Tribolium castaneum: one gene and its partner. The protein of the gene in region 1 binds, or shares a complex with, the protein of each later gene. Links are inferred from orthologs where the notes say so. Each region holds a gene or a part of one and is shown in the gene's direction. Other genes may lie near its edges.

Region 1 (10,624 bases):
TAATCCATTTTTGTGGGTTTAATGAGCTCCCGCGAGTATTAAAACCAAATTAAGTAAATAAAGTCCATTGGAGCGGAAATTTTAAATGAAACAACAAAAGGAAATTGGAAAACTCTTTCCTCTTATTTTCAGGATTTTTCATTTGCACTAGATGAGTCAACTTTCGTAATATCGTGAGCAATAGAAGAGGTAATGGTTAAAAAAATACATATTAAACACCACAAAAGTTTTCAATTTTAAATAAAACAACCGTGATAATTAGCTAAAATTAGTCAAAGTCGTAAATGCAACAATATTTTTGTTTTTTTTTGTTTTTTTTTTCATTATTTCGTTTTATCACTTAAATTGAAATGCTTTATTGTAAAAGCATTCCACGAGAAAGATGTTTGCAGGTCTTGATGCAGATATGCGAAGGAGCTCATTAGTCTGTGATTTTTTAATTCCTCTCTTTAGTTCAGACCGAGGTTCAGACAAAGGAAGTGTTTTATGAGAGAAAAAAAGAAAAATAGTTTCCATTGTGTTGTTTGGTATTGACAAATAATTGAGAATGGGCATGTTTCGGAACAACAAATATGTTGTTAACTTTGCCAACTTCCTACTGAAAATTTTCCATGATTAAAAAACCCCACTGTGGTCAGCTCCTTCGATGATTTGATAGCAAGTTCCTCTGATAACGAATTTGCAAAACTATAACGGACATCCGTCCCTGCCGCATAATTCAATAAAACTCGTATCGTTATTGCGATAGTGCCAAGACATGTCCAAAGAACAAGCAAGATAATAACACAAATAAATGCTCGTTTATTGTCGATTATTCTCTATCAAAACAAAGAAACCCCGTACAACTTTCCAGCAGTAAACAAGTCATTATATGCATATATAAAATAAAACGGTATGCATTTATGGAAAAAAGGTCTCTCATGAGTATTCCTCTCAAGCCGCATCATGATTCAATAGAGACAATTTTCAACTGGCTGCGCGCCTGGAAGTCCTCTAGTAAAAACTGTCGTCACAGTTAAAATTTCATTAGAATAATTTTCAAGAGGAAACAAAATCCACCGTAAGTGGGCATTGTCTCCCCGAGACCTTTTTATTCCGCCCGCATGGCCATACAATGCGTTTAGACGTAACGATAAAGAAGAGGTTCTTTATTAAACCGCTTGCCAGCAACCGTTTACAATCGGATGGTTCATTCAAGTTTGCGTCTCGTTCTGTTTTCGGCTTTTGCCATAGTTTATCTTTATTTATACGCGTTGGGGTGGCCACCGCCTTGATCAATACAGCCCCTCGCTGATATCAACCTACCCCTTCTCTAACCTAAATTACGGCCGAGACAATCACACGTGTAACACTCCTGTTTTTTGCAAAGTTAATTTGTTTAACACAAGGCGTGGGAGGCCAGAGGATGTTGGATGTTACGGCGCGAAATTAAACTCTTTGCAAATGATTGGTGACACACAATGCCCGGAAATCTCGCGTGTTACGAATGCTAATCGTTAATCTGAAAAAGTTTTGTTTGCTTACTTGAGAGTAGATGTCAATGTCCTTGTAAGGGTTGACTGCGACGAGGATTGAGCCGGTGTATGTCTAAATCCAATTAAGGAAAATATTGGACGTCCGGTCCTGCTCAACTGGTGCGAAAATATTCACCAGGAAAGGGGGTGTAATTGATTAGTTCGCACTAGTGATAAGACTCTGGTTTGCTTCAAACGCGCTGCGCTCAGATCAAAAGCAAAAGAGAGTAATTATAAAAGCACATGTCTTCCTGTTTGTCTTGCGCTACAAAGATACAAAGCCTCCCCTAGTTTCAATTCAGGTCAGTTATTAAGTTTTTAAAACTGACAAGTCAGGTATTGATTTGATAATTGTTAATTATTGAAGTTACCGAAATAGAAATTGGTTTCTTTTCATTCGCAATTAACAGACATTTATCCTGGATTCCGATGGTGTTACATTAATTATTTCTTAATTTCCGCCCTTTCCGACCCTATTACGGTTTGTAGTCCGTAGTTGGCGAACCCCAATATTTAATTTTTCAATGAATGATTTGATTTTGAGACCATTATTTATGAGTCAGGTTTTGATAACTGTGTTTAAACACTACCGAAATTTTTCGGACCTGTGTTTACATAGAAATGCTAGAATAACATTTGTGACAATGTGAGTCACCATTTAAGGTAATATTTGCTGTGACTTATCTCGCTATAAATTATCGCCACATGCAGGGAATTCACAAATTATTAATTGTCTTATGAAAGATTTTGCTTTAAATACATAATTATATTTGGCTAAGCTGAAAGCGAAATTTTCAAAATAATTTTAGAATGTAAACTTTCTTTCAAAATACAGGATTCGGTTCCGCCAAAAATTGTTTTTGTTATGAATTTAAAATGAGAGGGGATTCTGAAATTTACACACATTGCCTTGTAGGCGATTATATAAAATACTATTGACAGCTGATGTACATACTAGAACTGCTGAATAATTTTTGAAGAATGTGTTTCTTATTTCTGGTAGTTTACAAAATGGAAAACGGTAAATAAATTGATTAGTAATATTACTTTTTTATCTTCGTAAATTTTGCTGTTCCGTCTGTTATTGCAAACAAATAAATGTTCTTCTTATTTCTTACGTCGTGAAATAAGACCAACAATTTTTAATTTCCACTGTCTAATTTTGATACTGTTAAAGATTTTAATAATGAAAACCTTCTTGAATAAATTTTTTGGAGTTTTTTTCATACAAAAGATTTTTTGTCCCGTCCGTCATGTGTAAACAAAATCAGAATTCGTCACATATTGCCTTGTTCTTCGGTTTCGTGGTTTAAATTAACAGAATATTAAAACGATTGTTTAACAATAACATGTAAAATCTTTTTCATGTCCCGTCCGTTATTGCAAACAAATATACGTTCTTCTTATTTCTTACGTCGTGAAATAAGACCAACAATTTTTAATTTCCACTGTCTAATTTTGATACTGTTAAAGATTTTAATAATAAAAACCTTCTTGAATAAATTTTTTGGAGTTTTTTTTTCTTACAAAAGATTTTTTGTCCCGTCCGTCATGTGTAAACAAAATCAGAATTCGTCACATATTACCTTGTTCTTCGGTTTCGTGGTTTAAATTAGCAGAATATTAAAACGATTGTTTAACAATAACATGTAAAATCTTTTTCATGTCCCGTCCGTTATTGCAAACAAATATACGTTCTTCTTATTTCTTACGTCGTGAAATAAGACCAACAATTTTTAATTTCCACTGTCTAATTTTGATACTGTTAAAGATTTTAATAATAAAAACCTTCTTGAATAAATTTTTTCGAGTTTTTTTCTTACAAAAGATTTTTTGGCCCGTCCGTCATGTGTAAACAAAATCAGAATTCGTCACATATTGCCTTGTTCTTCGGTTTCGTGGTTTAAATTAGTAGAATTTTAAAACGATTGTTTAACAATACCATGTAAAGTCTTTTTCATGTCCCGTCCGTTATCAATTTGTATTTTTTTCCTGCTCGTATTTCAAATTTTAAAACTATAGCTCTAATTGTGTAAATGTAAACAGTAGTAAACACAATGTTTGTTTTTTATTTAGACAAACAGGAAGAAAGTGTGTATTGAAAAGGTACCCCTAGTGCAAATAGATAACAATATTCAGGTTAGCGATAAGTGATAAATTTAAATGAACAAAGAGTCTGTGAATCGCATTATTACTTTACTTCTTTCCCACTTTGTTCACTCGAGTAGCGCTTTCGTTTGTCGTAAAACAATGCGGACCGATTAAGGGTTGGTTTTATTGTTGATTATTACCCTGAATTCGGCTTAAAAATGCTTAAGCCTGTCATCGTTCAACAATCAACACCCTCGGATTCGTTAACTTGACAGAATGGAACGATATGGAGATAACGAGGGTATTTTATGTCAGTTGCAAGGGAGCAATATCGCGTCATATGGAGCCCCAGAAGCCAATGATTTAACTTTTCTTCGCAATTAGATAACTTTTGTCTCATCTGCTAAACATGCACTCTTTTTCCCGAGCAATCTGGTGCCGGAAAAAACGTCCTTGTACATAACATTTCTGCGCTCGATGATTAAAACCGAAATTTTTCAAATCGTTCCCGAATGAATCACCCCGATCAATGGATTTTTCTGGGTCAAAAAACCTATAAGGTTGAGTCATTAAGATCGGTTCCGGTAGCTTCGATCTGAGTAACATTGAAACCGGAGTTAGATTCCTCCTGACGCAACATCGTGACAATGACATTCACGCAAATCGGAAATCGATGCGAATTGGGCGCGAGTTGTTCAAAATGGGATTTTATTTAGTTTTTCTAGTCCGGACGCGACACGCTTATGAAATATTCCTCAGAGGTGAAAAGGATACGTAAATGCGGTCTTTTTCGTAGCGCACTTTCAGGTTCTTGTTTATCACTTCTTCGTCGAGGATTGTCAGCCGTGTCATGTCCGGGACGCCATCGTCGGGCATCGCGCCTGAAATAAACGCAATTATCAATAAACCATTGAAATATGCGCTTGTTATTCACATCAGGCGTCACTGACATTGCTGTTTATTGTGGTGAAATCGCTGATGTCTTTGTAAAAATACCTGTTTGAAATAGAAGATTGATTAAAGGCTGCACCAGCTGATGGCTGGGGCCTGGGGCAGCGGCACGTGTCGAAAACATCTGCTCCGCGCGTCCAGCTCTTTAGCTGATTGTTGTTTGGAATTTAGCCAAACTACCTGGTTCTTGATGGTTCAAAGCAACCACAGATGGTTTAATTTAGAAAATGTCGGCCCAGGGGACGGAAGATGACTAAGGGGAAAGAAATTTAAAGAATATGCGGTGAAAACGAGCCGTAAAACGTATTCGTGATGGTGTCAAAGGTGGCAGTAAAACAGGATCAACAACGAGCCGAGACATTTTCGAGAGTTCGGAAGGAAAACACCTGTCTTGGAATTAATTTATTCAACGTAAATTAACTTCTGTCATTAGTCATTACACACCCATTGCTTTGAATAAACTGCAATTAGTGTTCCATTTTCATTTTTTCCGGTGCTTAAGCGGATTTTCAAGGACTGGGGGCCACCAACTTTTTTTTCATTTTTTTTTATTAGGCAAGGATTCCTGACAATTTGTATGGACTTTTCTAAATAAAGACGAAGTAATTCGCCACTTTTCTGCCAACAAATGAAAAAAATTCAAAGTAACATTAAACACCTTAAATTTTTAAGGTTCAATAAAATTAATGCCATGTTTGTTTAGCTAGTAGAAGTTGAGCTACTCGTATAAATTATTTCGTTAACGTATTTCAATTCTGAAGCAAAAAATTCTGTGTTCCTGTCTTAGGTAACACATAAACAAAATTATTCGTCTTCAGTCTTTAACTACAAAAAATTGTTAAAGAAAAAACCGAAAAGATGTTTCAATGGTTCATAAGAGGAAGAAGAAGTTCATATGGACACTGAATTTATTTTCAAAAACTAACAAAAAATATTTTATAGTTGAATAAATAAAATAATGAGTTTGTTCAATGAGAGAACATTTAAGAAGATCGAAGGATTGGCTTCTATTTAAATAAGGTAAAAATAACTTTAAAAAAACTTTGGAAACTTCTTGGAATTCGAAGGATAACATTTCAGTTCGTATTTTTATTAGATTAGTACTAAATACATATTAGCTGTTTCAAAACTATAAAAATGCCAAAGTCGCATTTTCTCTCAAAATTAGTTGTTTTAAATTATTCAGCACTTCAAAAAATTAATAGCTAATAGTTTCAGTGAGAATAGTTTCAACCACTACTCTTTTACAACGTTATCAACCTTATTTAAAAAAAAATATATTCGGTAAAATGCGACGTTGGCATTTTTATAGTTTTAAAACAGCTATTAGTATACTAATAGAATTTTTAACGCGAATTTTCTAAATAGCGAAACAAGTTAATTCTAAATTCTAATGTCTAGATTGCTAAAACTTTGGATAATTTCAGTTTTTGGAAAGAAACGAGATCTTTCAAAGACTCTACTAACTCTTCAAGACTCTTTTGACACTAGAAGACTCTTCTAACTCTTCAAAGACATTCGAAATAACGCTGAAAAAATAATATTTTTTAAACGAAGTATGGTATGACTTTTTTCTAAATCAAATTATTAAAAGGAGCGGGTTAATATCTCAATCTCATTTTTCTTCCTACCTATGTATAAACACGTAGTTACTTTATCTTCCTGTAAATGATTCTACTTCCTTCTAAATTTCATGTTCTCAGCTTTGCCGGATCAGATGATCAAGTAATGATGGGTTTCAGTTCATATTCGGTATTGAATTTTTTTATTTTGCATTTTTTTAATAACACCAAACATAAATATTTAATTCCAAAACGTAGGTCACATTCAGTCGAAATCTCGAAAAGTCTTATTATAATATGTGAGGTCAATGAAATCTTTTAATATACATAAAGCAAAAACCAACGAAATAGCAGTTCGACTTCTTGAAAAACCTATTTATACCAAAGGTATAATCAATTCTAAGCTATTTTTAACTTGATGTTCGGAAAGAAATAAAATTTGTACGAATCAATCTTGGTCCGTGGCCAACTGAGGAAATAAATTTTATTTATCGTATGTTTTAGCAGCTGTGAGACAGAAGTAAATTTTCCTTTCTACCAACCCCACTTAAGCACCAGTTTTTTTAATCATTCATAATTTCCGTGTTGCCAGAAAAAATTTCATTGCGATTTTTCCTCACAATGAAAATTTTAATTCCCAAGATAATGTAAACAATAAACTGAGCCGAGATCATAAAAAACGAATGAATCAAAATTTAAAAGTTTGGCTACAAAGGGGATTAAACAAATAATCCAGTCGGGGAAAGGGATGAAAATTGCCCTTCTAGAGATAATTGTTTTTTAAAAACCTGGTTTTTGAATCACGCAGATTGACATATTTTATTTCTAATACAAAAATATTGTCTGGATAGCTATTGAATTTTATTATTTCGTTCTGTAATTGCGAGCATAATTTTTATCTTTTTGGTGACGAATACGCCCTTTTGAACCCCACTGTGTTCGCATGCATAAATCGACAATCATAATTTTTCTAAACCCTCCCCCATTTACCTAAATGGGGCAAAATGTGTGCCAAATCTCGAGGGCAATGTAAACCACTAAACAAACCCCATCCCTAGGTGTGTGCTATAAAAAACGAAAAACAACTGCACCCACTCCCATCGCAATTTATTATTTTTTTCACTTAAAAAATATAATTTTGAAAAAAATTACCGTTTCTTTTCAAAAAAACTGTTCTTTGAATTAATAGGAGTGCAAAAAACCCCGTGTTAATTCAGCAAATGTCAATGCCGCCCTTAAAAATACAGGGGTTGCGAAAATTCCACTTACTCGTTGAAGTAAAATTTAATTCCTGCATTGTTACTAATCCTTACAGCGGGGAAACATTCATTTCGGTAGAGAAAATAATCACGAAAAAATTAATACACGAACATTTTAAAGAGAGCTTGCACACACCAACACTCAACTAAACAGAACAGAACTAACAACTCGAGGGTCTGACGAGAACTGGAACTGGAAATGAAAAAATCAAGCAAGCGAAAGCTAGGGGTGCTGCGACCACAGCGCCAAACAAACGAAAACGAGTCGATAAACCAGGAACCTGCCCTCAAATAACCGGAATAAATGTTACAATAAAAACTAAAACAGTTTGGCACTTCTTCAAATCGTTTTTTAATAATAATACTGGTCCCAAATTCGTGTTACATAACAAATTACACAAGTGGGCATAACTTTACCCAGTGACGGGTGGCGCTAGCGTTGTCCCACCTGCCAGACGTCAAACCCAGCTGAGTGTTTTTATTTTTTTGTGCACCAGGTGTAATAAAATTACACAACGTGGTCAAATTTTGTTCCGCTGGAAGCAACAAAAAATAAAAACTTGCCGTTTTCAAAATGAAAACTCGGTTCAACACCTTCGATATTATTTGCACCGTCACAGAACTCCAAAAGTATTTTTCTGTAAGATTGTTCTTTTGGCACTTATTTCTAATTTGCAGATGTGTCGGAATGCGAGTGAACAACGTCTACGATATTGACAATAAGACTTACCTGATAAGACTCCAAAGAAGTGAAGAAAAAGCGGTAATTCTGCTAGAATCAGGCAATAGGTTTCACGAAACCGGCTTTGAATGGCCCAAAAATGTCGCCCCTTCGGGGTTCAGCATGAAATTAAGAAAGCACTTGAAAAATAAACGCTTGGAGAGTTTGGCTCAACTGGGCACAGACAGAATTGTCGATTTCCAATTTGGTTCAGGCGAAGCTGCGTATCATGTTATTCTAGAGCTGTACGATAAAGGCAATATCATCTTGACTGATTTCGAATTCACGATATTAAATGTCCTGCGACCGCATACTGAAGGCGACAGGTTTAAGTTTGTGGTCAGGGAAAAGTACCCTCAGGATAGGGCTAGGCAGAGCAGTTTAATCACAAGAGATGAGCTGGTTCAACTTTTAAAGGCTGCGAAAAACGGAGATCAATTGAAAAAAGTGCTCGTTCCGAATTTAGGTGAAAATTGGCGATTTTTACGATTTTTTATTAACTTTTATATCTAGAATATGGCCCTCCTCTCATCGAGCATGTGTTACTTAAACAAGGTTTTTCAAATAGCACCAAAATCGGAAAAACATTTAATATCGAAAGTGATGTCGATAAGGTTCTCTGCGCTCTTGAAGAAGCCGAAAATCTTTTCTCAGAGGCCAAAAAAACGGGTTTTAAGGTAATATGGCCTCACAGTCTTTTATACAAATTTTTATATTTTTTTATAATCAGGGTTACATAATTCAAAAAAAGGAAGAAAGGGTAGTGAGTGCTGATAACTCTGAGAAAGAATATTATTACTCAAATCAGGAATTTCATCCAGTTCTGTACGAACAACATAAATCGTCAATTTCCAAAGAATTTCCCTCGTTTAACTCAGCCGTTGATGAGTTTTTCTCATCTTTGGAAAGCCAAAAACTTGAATTGAAAGCTTTACAACAAGAACGGGAAGCTCTGAAGAAATTAGAAAATGTGAAGAAGGATCACAGTCAGAGATTACTTGCTCTAGAAAAAACACAAGAAATTGACAAACAGAAAGCTGAGCTCATTACGAGAAATCAGGAGCTTGTTGATAAGGCTATTCTGGCGGTCCAGACGGCTTTAGCCACTCAGGTAAATTAAACTTAAGTCATTGGTTAAATTAGTTTTTACTGATTTATTTATAGATTTCGTGGTCTGACTTGGCCGATTTGATCAAAGAAGCTGCCTCACAAGGCGACGAAATCGCCCAGCGTATCAAAGAATTAAAGCTGGAAACTAACCACATTAGCCTGTATCTTACTGACCCTTACGCTGAAGATGATAGTGAGTCAGACGACGAAGATAATGACGATAAAATACCACCCATGGTGGTAGATGTGGACTTGGATTTATCGGCTTTTGCTAACGGGAGACGATATTATGACCAAAAGCGAAATGCGGCTAAAAAACAACAAAAAACAATAGAATCGCAAAGCAAAGCGTTCAAGTCAGCTGAAAAGAAAACCAAACAAACTTTGAAAGACGTAAGATATTGCTATCACAGGGTGACATTGTTAATTGTTTTTTTAGGTCCAAACAATCACAAATATTAATAAAGCTCGTAAAGTGTACTGGTTTGAGAAATTCTTCTGGTTTATAAGCTCGGAAAATTACTTGGTTATAGCTGGGCGAGACCAGCAACAAAACGAGTTGATTGTCAAACGCTACATGAAATCGACCGATGTCTATGTGCATGCTGATGTCCATGGTGCTAGTAGTGTTGTTATAAAAAACCCTTCAGGTCAAGCAGTGCCGCCTAAAACCTTGAACGAGGCTGGAACTATGGCTATTTGTTACAGGTTAGTCAGTGTAACTTATTAAAAGTTTTGCTATTTTTTTTATAATTTTTTAGTGTTGCTTGGGACGCAAAAGTCGTAACTAACGCCTACTGGGTCTGGGGGGAGCAAGTCAGTAAGACAGCTCCAACCGGAGAGTATTTAAGTACCGGTAGTTTCATGATTAGGGGCAAGAAAAATTTCCTCCCCCTATCACACTTGATCCTAGGTCTAAGCTTTTTGTTTAAATTGGAAGAAAGTTGCATTGAGAAACACAAGGATGAAAGAAGAGTCATAGCGCCAGGCGAAGAAGATTTTGTAGAAACTGTTGAGAGCGAGAATAAGGATGAGGTGGAAGTTGAGGTGCTTGATGAAAGCGATGAGGAAAACAAGGAGGAAGTGAAAAGTGCAGCAGATAAGGAAATTGAAAATGAAGAAAACAGTAGCTCCTCCGAGGATGAGGAAAGTTCAAAATTTCCCGACACTCAAATCAAGATCCAACATTTTGAAGGAACGAAGTTTGTAGTGTGACCCGAGGCGTTTGCCGAGTGGTTTAACGTTTGACTTTTTAGAATCAACATTTTGACAGAGCCTGTGATAAGAAATGATGAAACGGATGAGAACGAAACTGTTGTGTATTTAGGAGATAATAAACCGGTTGTGGTTAAACCGAATCAAAGGTCGAGAAATACCAGTGAATCGAAAACCAAACAACCGAAAAATGATGCGAAA
Region 2 (10,388 bases), on another chromosome or scaffold:
TGACGAACGCAACGTTATCAGTGATTATTTTCCCAAGCTCGGGAAAGTGCCAACCGTACCATTCGCGGCACCTCATTATGTAGTTGTTGAGTTCTTTATCGAGGTCATCAAGCAACGAAACCGCTTGGACTATCATTGTATCAATTTTATCAGGCGAGAATTTTAACTTGTACCGTGATAAGGAATGAGCTAAACCTAACGCCATCGCGGTCATTTCCTTCTTAGGTAACCCCGTTATCAAACTGTCCAATTGCGACCGAATGCACCGCATCAGCTCCTGGACAGCTGTATTCGAAACGCATTGTAAATTGAACTTCTCTTTAATGGCAGACCCTAACTTGGCGTCGGCCACAAGCAGCTTGTCCTGCAATTCTTGGTCGATGTGCTTCTTCAGCACCTTCTTCAAGCTTTTCGAGACTTTGCCCTCGACGGCTGCAGTCGTGGCAGCCAGGGCTTCAGTGGTATCATTGAACTTCTCGAAATGTTTCAGCTTCACACTAAAACAATTTTACTAATAAGTTTGCATTTTGAAACTAGGACAGGTCGTACATTTTTCCTGCCGACTCGGGTGAATCAAATTCATGGTACAAATTGTTAACTTCTTTTAATTTGCTTTCATCCAGAAGCTGAAAGCATGGAAAATTTGAGGTTAAGTTTGTCAACAACTTTACTGCAGAATTACCTTAAACAGCGCGTAACCTGCCGCTGTCTCAAATAAGACCAACATTTTTCACTTTGTATTACAACAATTTATATGAAAACCCACCAATTTTTAATATTAACGATAAAAACCGGCAACAATTAGAAACCATGAGGTCTAGCGCGTCGGCGAGATTGTCGACTCGCACGAATTCCCCAAGAATTACCAACTCTTGGTTCTTTCCCCCACGTGCCTTTCCAATGTAAATCTAAATAAAGCAGATTTAAGATTATTTGACACCAGTTTACAAAAACCCAAGTTCTTTTTAGTATGTGTGGGAGTTGTAATTAGTAACTGGCGTTAACTGGTTACTTGTAAAAAAGTTTCAGTTTCACCTACATTCGGTTAAGTCGATCTTAACAACAGGTCGAATTCGGGTGCATTGTACATATCACGTGATCAAGTTAAGATGGCGTTTTGTTGTTGTTGTCAGCTGATTTGCGAGAAAACAGAAAATTGTTATTTGAAAATGAATTAAAAGAAGTTTTTTTTGCTAAAAATTAAAATGTCAGACAAACGAAAAGTCCTCGTAGCCAAACGAAAAAATGAGAGGAATCCTAAAATTTTTCCGGAAAAAATTGTTCAAGAGGATAGTCATTTAAAACATGGAACGAAACGTACCATTAGTGTTACGCCGAAAAAGAACATAGCTAATGAAAGGTTAAAGAGGCTTAGGACTAGCTTAAATGAAGAAGTTTCAAAATCTGCTCAATCTGTACCAAAATTTAAAGACAAGAATTGTGTGCGGAAACGACCAACTGATTCAGTGCAACATGAAGTGTCTACAAAACTGTTTATTAAGGAAAGTGCCTCGAGTTCAGGGGAATGTTCGAACAGTGAACCTGGAACTCCTTTCATTTTTAAAGAAGAGTTTCTAACACAAACGAATGTGTTTACCACTGAATCTCCAAATCCATTTGCTGTTGGCTTTCAACAGACAGCAGTTGTTTCAGAAGAGGATATGGAATGGTGTCCTGTATACTCTCTTGATTTAATTATTCAGTTTAATATTCTAGTTAATTGTCTTTTTAGACTGATATTGAGGAGTCCAAAAGCACAAGTGATAATACTTTAAATTCACAAATTACGAGTTCTTGTCAGTTTTATATTGTGGTTGACACGAATATATTCTTATCAGAGCTGAATATAATTGCTAACATTGTTACATTAGCTGTTAAAGGTAAAGAAATGTGTAACAATGGATAAATATTTATCACACTTGTTATAGGACCCAGGGAGCCAGTCATTTTCATTCCCTGGATTGTTACAGAAGAGTTAGACTTTATAAAGGGCGATTCAAACAAACGTAGCCTCAGACAGAAAGCTCAAGATGCCATCAAGTTAATAGAAAAAACTATGAGTAGTAAACATAATAGAATGAAAGGTATACTGAAACAATGTTTCACGTAGAAGTGTTTGCATTTTTTTATTATGACCATTGAACTTTATTTTTATTCTTTAACATGAGTCGCTCTAGTAAACAAAAAATTCACGGTACTTTTTTCATTGGATAAGGAAGCAGTGACAAAAGTAATAGCAATTATTTTTTCAGGGCAGACACTAATGGAAGCTAATGAACAGGAAAGTGTAGGTGCAAATCAAGATAACAAAATAATTGCTTGCTGTATGCAAGTTTTAGAAAAATATGAAAATATGGTAACACAATAATCCACATCGAATTATTTTGGGTGACTTAATTTTTTAGGTTCTCCTCACAAATGACATTAATTTAAAAAACAAAGCCCATTTCAATAAAATTCCCGTATGCTCATCTAAAGAAATAATGTTTAAAATACAAAAAATGCAGAATAATATTCCGCTTTCTCAAGAAATAATGCCAAAAACGCAGAATAAATCAGCGACTATTTTAAATATCATGACATGTTTATGTAATACTGTAATTCGTGAATGCGCTAAAAATGCCTATGGAGAAGCCTGTAACAGAATGCCAATATGTCAGCCATCATCAAAGACTTTAACTGAATGCATCGCTACATTTACAAAATACTGGTTTCCTGTGTTTCAAGAAGTAGTAATGAAACAGTGTAAGAATGCCATAGAAGATCTTTCAGCCTTTCTATCACAGCACACAAGTAGGCTATATTTTACCAAATTCCTATTAATGATTTTAATTTTTTAGCTATAAATGATACCTCAAAAGAATTAAATGACCTCATAAGACTTTGTCTAAGAGTTTGTCTATTTTTGAAGGACGTCGAGTGCTGTAAAATTATGACCGAGAATACGATACGGGATTTAAACAGTCTTAAAAATTCTTAGCGTTTTCTGCAAAATCTTTCTTTAAAATTATATAAAAATTTGTTTAACTATTATCTCCACGGTGTAATCCGTTCAGGAATAAACTATTGTATTATGTTTGTTAAAAAAATGTTTTATTTGAAATTCTACCAATTTTATGTTAATAAAAAAATTGATCGTTACTTTTTGAGGATACCTCGTATAGCTTTGGAAATTTATTTCCGTAATGTTTACATTCTTGTCTGTCAATGAGATTTTAATTTTTTGACATCTGTCAAATAATAAAAGCAGTGACTCACAATCTCAAGTGTTATTGATTAAAAGTGCAAATAAAATAACAATTATTACTTTCCGATTAACAATACGATATTTTATTTGATGTTTTAGGTAAGACATGGAACGTTTTATGCTTTCTTTGCCTTAGTCCAAGCAAACAAATCATAATGATAAAAGTGTTTGATTTTACAGAAGAGATTAATAAACAATAAAATATGGATAGTTTTTCGTACCAAAACGGGGGGCAGAACAGAGAGCAGGATTTCCAAAAGTTGGCTCAAACCATTGGCACTAGCATACAGAAAATATCGCAAAATGGTAACTTTTTCCTTCATTTGATCACTGTATTAAGTGGCTTTTACAGTTTCGTCAATGCAACGCATGGTAAACCAGATAGGCACTCACCAAGACTCACCTGATTTGAGAAAACAGCTGTACGTACTAAAACATTATTCATTGATTTTTTTACTGAAGTTTTTGCAGCCATTCCATTCAGCACTACACCCAACAGCTTGTAAAGGACACCAATGGTTACATTAAGGACCTTAACGCCATATCCCCGTCCCAATCCCAGTCTGAGCAACGGCAGCGTAAAATGCAAAGAGAACGTCTTCAGGATGAGTTTACTTCAACCCTGAACATGTTCCAAGCTGCTCAGAGAAGCACAGCGCAGAAGGAAAAAGAACAAGTCAATAAAGCCAAAGCCCAAGCTTATGGCGAACCATTCCTCAGTAAGTTCATTATTGAAGGAAGCAGTGGCTTATTCTATCACACATTAAACTTTAGGTAGCTATAAAAAAGACGAACAATTGATCGAGTTACAAGACAGTAGTGCGGCAAAAGAGCAGGTGCAACTTCAAGAAGAATCAGAGTTACGAGCCCTCCAAGAGCAGGAACAGTCCATTAGACAGTTAGAAGTATGTGCTTTTATCTCAAAAAAATAGATAACTGTACAATTTGTTCTAGAGTGATATTAACGATGTCAATCAAATTTTCAAAGAGTTGGGTGCTCTTGTCCACGAACAAGGCGAAGTTATCGACAGCATTGAAGCAAATGTGGAGAGAACTAGCGATTTTGTGAGAGAAGGTGCCCAGCAGTTACACCAGGCTAGCACTTACAAAAATAAAATTAGGAGAAAGAAGATGATTCTTGGTATTATTGGTGCTGTTATCTTAACTATCATTATTATAATTATTATTTGGAAAACTAGTTAATTGCAAATGGTATTGGATCTATCACGAAATGTATATTATATGTATATCTAAATGTACTAAATCCAGCTGTACGAAGTCTATTTTTGCTGTACATTTTTACCACAGTTTAAATTCAGTGCCAAGGTCATTCTATTTAAACTGTTACGATATTAACTCATTTATTTATTATTTAGATTGTAACGATTTTACTTTATTGTTGCAGAAACTTTCAAGCTATTTTATAATCTCCAAATTTTTATCATGTTTTTAATTAAATTTTTGATCAGTGGCCCCTTAGTATAGCCAACTTATCTGAAACTTACAAGCCGCTTTGATCATAAATTTAATTTAATGCGTTATATTTTACAAACTTTAGGCATTTTTGTACATTTATTGTTTGTTTTTACTCTTGTTACACAGTAGGTTCATATTTTAGGTACTATTGTATTTGAAGAAGGCTTAATTGTTTTATTATTTCTGATTATTATAAATGCATCTGATGCTTTAACTTTAGTATAGACAAACATAGAAATTATCTATTCCACCAAACTTGTACCATTATTGTATTAAATAAAAGTTGTTACTTAAAAGTCTACTTTATTAAAAAATCCTGGAACTTGGATTGGTGATTATCGATTTTTTTTAGTTCTCAGTGTAGATTGTAAATTGACTAATTAAATTAAAATAATTCCTTGGTGCTAAACAAGCTCCATAAACAAGCAATTATAAAAAATAAATGATTAAAAAATCCAAAATTTCTACAGGAGAAACGTCAAAAAGATTTATAGGTTAAGTACAAGTCGTGTGTCAAATCTATCAAAATAAAAATCTCCAGAAGTCCATTGATTTCCTGCGGAAAGGATAACCAAAATATTCCTGAAAAAGAAATAAAACAGCAGACAAGTCACCAGCGAAGTTACTGTTCTTGTGATGTCTTCTCGAGTGTTGCGAAAATTACAGGGGGATAAAGACATTGTGGATGAAATATCTGATACAGAAACCGACATTCCTGTTAGTGGGGGTGCCCGACGAAAACAACTCAACATCAATCGCTACGATCTGGTAACAGCCCCTTCCAGTAACGCGAATTTTGCGTTAATTATCATCTTCCAGCTGAACCAACAGTCACACTCAGAGAGCGAAGTCAAGGAAGACGACAATGAAACGGAGGCTGCCAAGTCATGTGAAGGGGACCCAAACCACGAGGCGGTCAAGCGAAAGAAAAAGAAGAAGAAGAAAAAGTCAGGGAAACATGTGAATCCGCAGCGAAGCAGCGAGGACAATGCTGATGTAAGACCCAAAGTTATGGGTTAAACATTACTTTGCCTTTTTAGATCGACGAAGTCGAGAGATCAGTTCGTGAGGTGAACAGACTCTTGGGCGAAAGCCACTTGCCTAAAACCACCTCAGCTCCTCCATTCAACACCAAGCACGAGAAAAATGTCCACAATAAGAACATTCTGTCCGTGCAACATAAACATTTGAACCCGAACAATGAATTGAAAAAGATATTTGGCTCAAAAATTATCCAAGCTGAACAGTAGGTAATAGTCACTTAAAGCCCGATCTTCTGACTTTCTTCTTGTAGCAAAAGAAAAAACAGAGGGAGGGGACATACAAAGACAACGTGGCTAGTAAGTGGTAAAGATACGTGGCCCCAAGTGGGCAAGTCGGGACTTTCCATGAACTTGCTCGAAAATAAACAGGGGATTCAATATTTTACCTACGAACACAGTCAGAGTTACCGCCAGATACAGAACAGGTTTCTTGAGTCAGTTGAAAGTCTAAATCCTGATAATATTGTTGCAATTATTAATGACCACCCTTACCACATTGATGCCCTGATACAGTTGTCAGATTTGTGTAAATTGAGCGAGGATCTGGCAATGGCAGCTGAGTTTATTGAAAGGGCGCTCTATTGCCTGGAGTGCGCTTTTCACCCTCTTTTCAATGTTGCGCAAGGAAACTGCAGGCTGGACTACAGAAGGCAGGAAAACAGGTACATTTTTGTTTTAAATTTTAATAAAAAGATTACTATATTTAAACGCCTGGTAATTTACTGTAAAATTTTGCATTGTAATCGAAAGTTTTTTCCTACGTTCCAGGGCTTTATACATAACAATCTTCAAGCACCTGACTTTCGTCGGGGGCCGCGCTTGCTGTCGAACGGCCCTCGAGTTCTGCAAGCTTCTCCTTTCGCTGGACCCCGACGGCGACCCCCTTGCCATTAAACTAGCAATTGACTTTTATGCTTTACGTGCCCGCGAGTACAACTGGCTGATTGACTTTGCTGACGAATGGGAGACAGCAAAGAACTTGTCCCAACTCCCAAACTTTGCTTTCTCAACAGCCGTGGCCCATTTCCACACATCGAACGGCGAAACGGCCAAAGCCGACAGTTTGCTTCAGAACGCGTTGTTAATGTTCCCCGGCGTACTCATGCCTTTACTTGAAAAATGCTCAGTGCAAATTGACAACAGGGTAATGACGCACAAATTCTTCTCAGTTAACGAAAACAAGTAATTGATGAGTGATATGTAAACAGATGGGTATATTGGGTGTGTTTTAGACAATCGGCCGCTCTGACACAGCTGATCCAGTTGTATGTGAGTAGGTGTTACCATGTGTGGAAAGACAGCGATTTGATGCACTGGCTGGAACGCAATGTGCACGCAGTGTTGGATCGAGTTGATAAAAATGACCCAGTTGTGAAGGATTATGAGACGAAACGGGCCAAAAGGTACCAAGGCTCCCTGCCAAGGAGCATAGCGAGACATATTCTGCTCTCAGACATCAAGGATCTAACACCAATCACTGATGTAATTTTTTGTGCAAAACCACACATGGGATTAATTGTTATTCCAGGATTTCAGCGGACCTGTCTTAGGGTTCGATCCTTTGCCCCCTCAAGACTCCATCAACATCTACACCAAGCCAAAACGGCCAACAGTCTCAAATAATAGTTCCATTCCTTTAAGTATTTTCTTCAGGTCGATTTTGCCCAACTTTAATCCCAATCAGATTCCACCAAATCTTTTGGACCCGTAAGTCCATTTTTTGGGTTGTTTTCGCAGCCACAGTTAGCAGAGTGGAATTTTTTTGTAGACCGAGAGAGGAAGATGGCGCTGCAGCTCTTCCGGTTTACGAAAACGCAAACAATGACGCTGGAGATTTTAGACGAAGTGTCGTATCATTGGTTGGGGCAATGAGAGACTTGTTGAACAACATAAGGCCCCCAGAAATGGAAGTACCGAACGACGCTGATGTTGACGAAGATTACGACGACCTTACCTAATAATTAGTCTAATTCGCTAGTGAAGAAAACACTAAACCTTTTATTTCCTTATTGTTGCTATATTCTAAAAATGTTTATTATTACAATTATGATATAACCAAATAAATTGATAATCTGTCCGTTTTGTAGTTTCAGTTATGTTATTAAATTATTAATTCTAGTATAGATTCGTAATTAATTAATTAAGTAAAGCCCAACAATAGTGTAATATTAAAAAAATAATTTATAATTGTGTAGTTTAATTATTTAAAAGTGATAGTCTTATCTGCCACATCCTCCGCCTCCACAAGGACTTCTCCTAGGTGGGCGATAATTGGACGAACTTCCAGCGCCCATCAGTGGGTTATATCCTACAGTAACGAATCAATAAATCATGACTCAGCAAGTGTTACACTCACCTGGTCGCAAATTACTCGTATCATCTTTCCTACCCAAAACGTGACCCCCAGAAGTCTCATACTTCCTTTTAAGCTCCTCTCGCTTTTTCTCCTCCTTTTCTTTCATTTTTCTTTGATATTCTTCAGATTCTTTGTTATATTTTTCTTGGAGTTTCTGGGCCCACTGTTGTTGGGCACTGACATGTGCAGCAAAAACATCGGGATCTGGGGCCAAACCAGTTAAAACGATCTAAATTTCGTAAAGTAACTTACTCTTGTGGTATTTAGCCGCATAGTCTCTCTCAAATTTGTATTCCCTAAGTTTTTGGATGTAAGATTTTAAAGTTTTCTGGTATACCACTACTAGAGCTATACAAGCAATTAGCATATACCAGCCATAATTTTCAAGGATGTAAATGACTAAAAATGCGAATGTTAATTACCAAAACTTTCCTTTTTTTGCGTTAAGGACTAACCTGAATTCAGTGGATTCCAGAAGCCGTTTTCTTGCTCAAAGGCTTCAAACTCGTCCATCGCTCCCAGTTTGTTCAATATAAATGTTCCACAATATTATTGTTACGATGCAATTGCAATTTTTAATAATTAACAACAAACTACAATTTAATTATTAAACTGTCAAAATAATGTCAATGTCACCTGACGTGTCAAATCAAAATTGACGCAAGCGCTCTTGATTAATAAGGTTTTTTTGGACAAATAAATGTTAATCTGGTTAATTATTACATTTAATTTGTAATGATTATTATTAAAATATGCAGCACATGTTGTTGCGTTTTTGTGCTTACAAAATTCACACAAAAAACGTAAATTCGCTCTTTTTAAATTTTAAAATGAGATTTGAAATTTGACAAGTGTCCTATGGTTCTAGGGGATTCTAGTAACTTCCATGTGATTTTCTAGAATTCGTTGATTTTAAAATAAAAAGTAGTGTTGCTGTAATTGTGTTAATTAATGTTTAAAACTGTTAAAAATTTAAGGTCAGGTTCACAGCACAGTAAGTAAAATGCCTCAGCGCAAGAAACCGTTCAGTGGCAAAGCCAAGAAAGAGCAGCTAAAGGCCAAAAAACAGTCCAAACAGAACGCCCCTCAAGGTACCCTCTTATTTTTTGCAGAAAACTGTTCTAATTGTAACCACTTTAGAAGGTTTTGGTTCCCGAAACCGGCGGCCTTTGTTGAAGACCAGTGCCGGTGATAGTGAGGATCAGCCCCAAATTCAAAAATTCAATTACTGTCCCCCTAAGGACGGGCGAGACCGCAACCGTTATGCCTTGCAGTTTTACCGCGAGACTCCCTCTGAGCTCAAAGCACGTAAAGAAGAGGCTTGCAAAACCATAGAACCTGTCTCTGAGAAAGAGCTGGAAATTGACTCAAATGACTATTTTCCCAAAGACTTGGGTTTTCCTCGAAGGCCCCCGTGGTCATATGAGCTCACGACTGAACAGCTCGAAGCACGCGAAACCAAATATTTTAATGTACGGTTATTGTCATTAACATTATTTTGTCTGATCGGTTAATTTCAGGATTATGTTAATGGAATCTTGGAAAAGTATAATTGGAAAGAGTTAAGTTTCTTTGAACTGAACTTGGAGACGTGGCGGCAGTTGTGGCGGGTTCTCGAAATGTCAGATATTGTTCTGCACATTGTTGATATCAGATATCCCGTAATTCTGCCTCCCAATTTGCTTTATTAAATTTTAATTACTTTTTGTAGGCCCACATGTTTCCCCCATCTTTGTACGAATACGTGACTGAAACATTGAAGAAAGACTTTATTTTAGTATTGAATAAAATTGATTTGGCCCCAGCGCCGTTAGTCGTGGCGTGGAAAAAATACTTTGAGGAGAATTACCCCAATTTGCACATTTGCATGTTTACCACACTCCCTGGCTATAATCTAGTTGGCACCCAAGTGAATAGAGCTGGTTTGTAGTGTGTAATAAATTAATTACAAGATTTAATTGTTAATTTTAGGTCTCCAAGTCCGTAAACGCAAAGGCAAGTTCCGATTGGCTGCAGAAGGGAGTCAACAGTTGTTTGAAGTTTGTAAAACCATAGTTGGGGATAATATAGACATAAGTTCTTGGCAAACCAAAATAAAGGAAGAAATGAATTTGGAATACGAAAACGATGAAGACGAGAAAGTTGAAATTGGAGAAACAGTTCAAATGAAAGCAGTGGACACGAGTTACTTCGAACACGAAAAATACAAAAACGGTATTCTCACAATCGGCTGTTTGGGGCAACCCAACGTCGGCAAATCGTCACT

The links.
Region 2: Clbn (region 1) and Nulp1 share a complex: the UniProt entries of both Homo sapiens proteins name them as parts of the ribosome quality control complex. The link is inferred for Tribolium castaneum from reciprocal best matches to the Homo sapiens genes NEMF and TCF25.

What each region holds. Positions count from the first base shown.
Region 1 is NC_087396.1:12,778,671-12,789,294, forward strand, and holds the start of Clbn (ribosome quality control complex subunit NEMF homolog), read left to right. Parts: upstream 1-7,795; 5' UTR 7,796-7,951; coding exon 7,952-8,007; intron 8,008-8,055; coding exon 8,056-8,564; intron 8,565-8,611; coding exon 8,612-8,775; intron 8,776-8,828; coding exon 8,829-9,209; intron 9,210-9,262; coding exon 9,263-9,601; intron 9,602-9,647; coding exon 9,648-9,916; intron 9,917-9,969; coding exon 9,970-10,410; intron 10,411-10,464; coding exon 10,465-10,624. Other genes in the region: Myo81F (myosin-I heavy chain), read right to left, coding at 1,525-1,587, 4,380-4,486, 7,388-7,415. UniProt on the Homo sapiens protein: Key component of the ribosome quality control complex (RQC), a ribosome-associated complex that mediates the extraction of incompletely synthesized nascent chains from stalled ribosomes as well as their ubiquitin-mediated proteasomal degradation.
Region 2 is NC_087394.1:30,818,597-30,828,984, reverse strand, and holds Nulp1 (ribosome quality control complex subunit TCF25), read left to right. Parts: upstream 1-5,205; 5' UTR 5,206-5,359; coding exon 5,360-5,491; intron 5,492-5,542; coding exon 5,543-5,719; intron 5,720-5,763; coding exon 5,764-5,969; intron 5,970-6,017; coding exon 6,018-6,428; intron 6,429-6,534; coding exon 6,535-6,948; intron 6,949-6,998; coding exon 6,999-7,248; intron 7,249-7,294; coding exon 7,295-7,473; intron 7,474-7,534; coding exon 7,535-7,724; 3' UTR 7,725-7,843; downstream 7,844-10,388. Other genes in the region: nop5 (nucleolar protein 58), read right to left, coding at 1-497, 550-626, 683-727; transcriptional protein SWT1, read left to right, coding at 1,206-1,676, 1,733-1,880, 1,929-2,084, 2,253-2,356, 2,406-2,793, 2,841-2,980; Syx7 (syntaxin-7), read left to right, coding at 3,451-3,553, 3,600-3,669, 3,719-3,966, 4,022-4,152, 4,202-4,450; selenoprotein S, read right to left, coding at 7,986-8,074, 8,123-8,326, 8,375-8,521, 8,578-8,635; Ns4 (guanine nucleotide-binding protein-like 1), read left to right, coding at 9,126-9,213, 9,263-9,594, 9,643-9,783, 9,834-10,044, 10,094-10,388. UniProt on the Homo sapiens protein: Component of the ribosome quality control complex (RQC), a ribosome-associated complex that mediates ubiquitination and extraction of incompletely synthesized nascent chains for proteasomal degradation.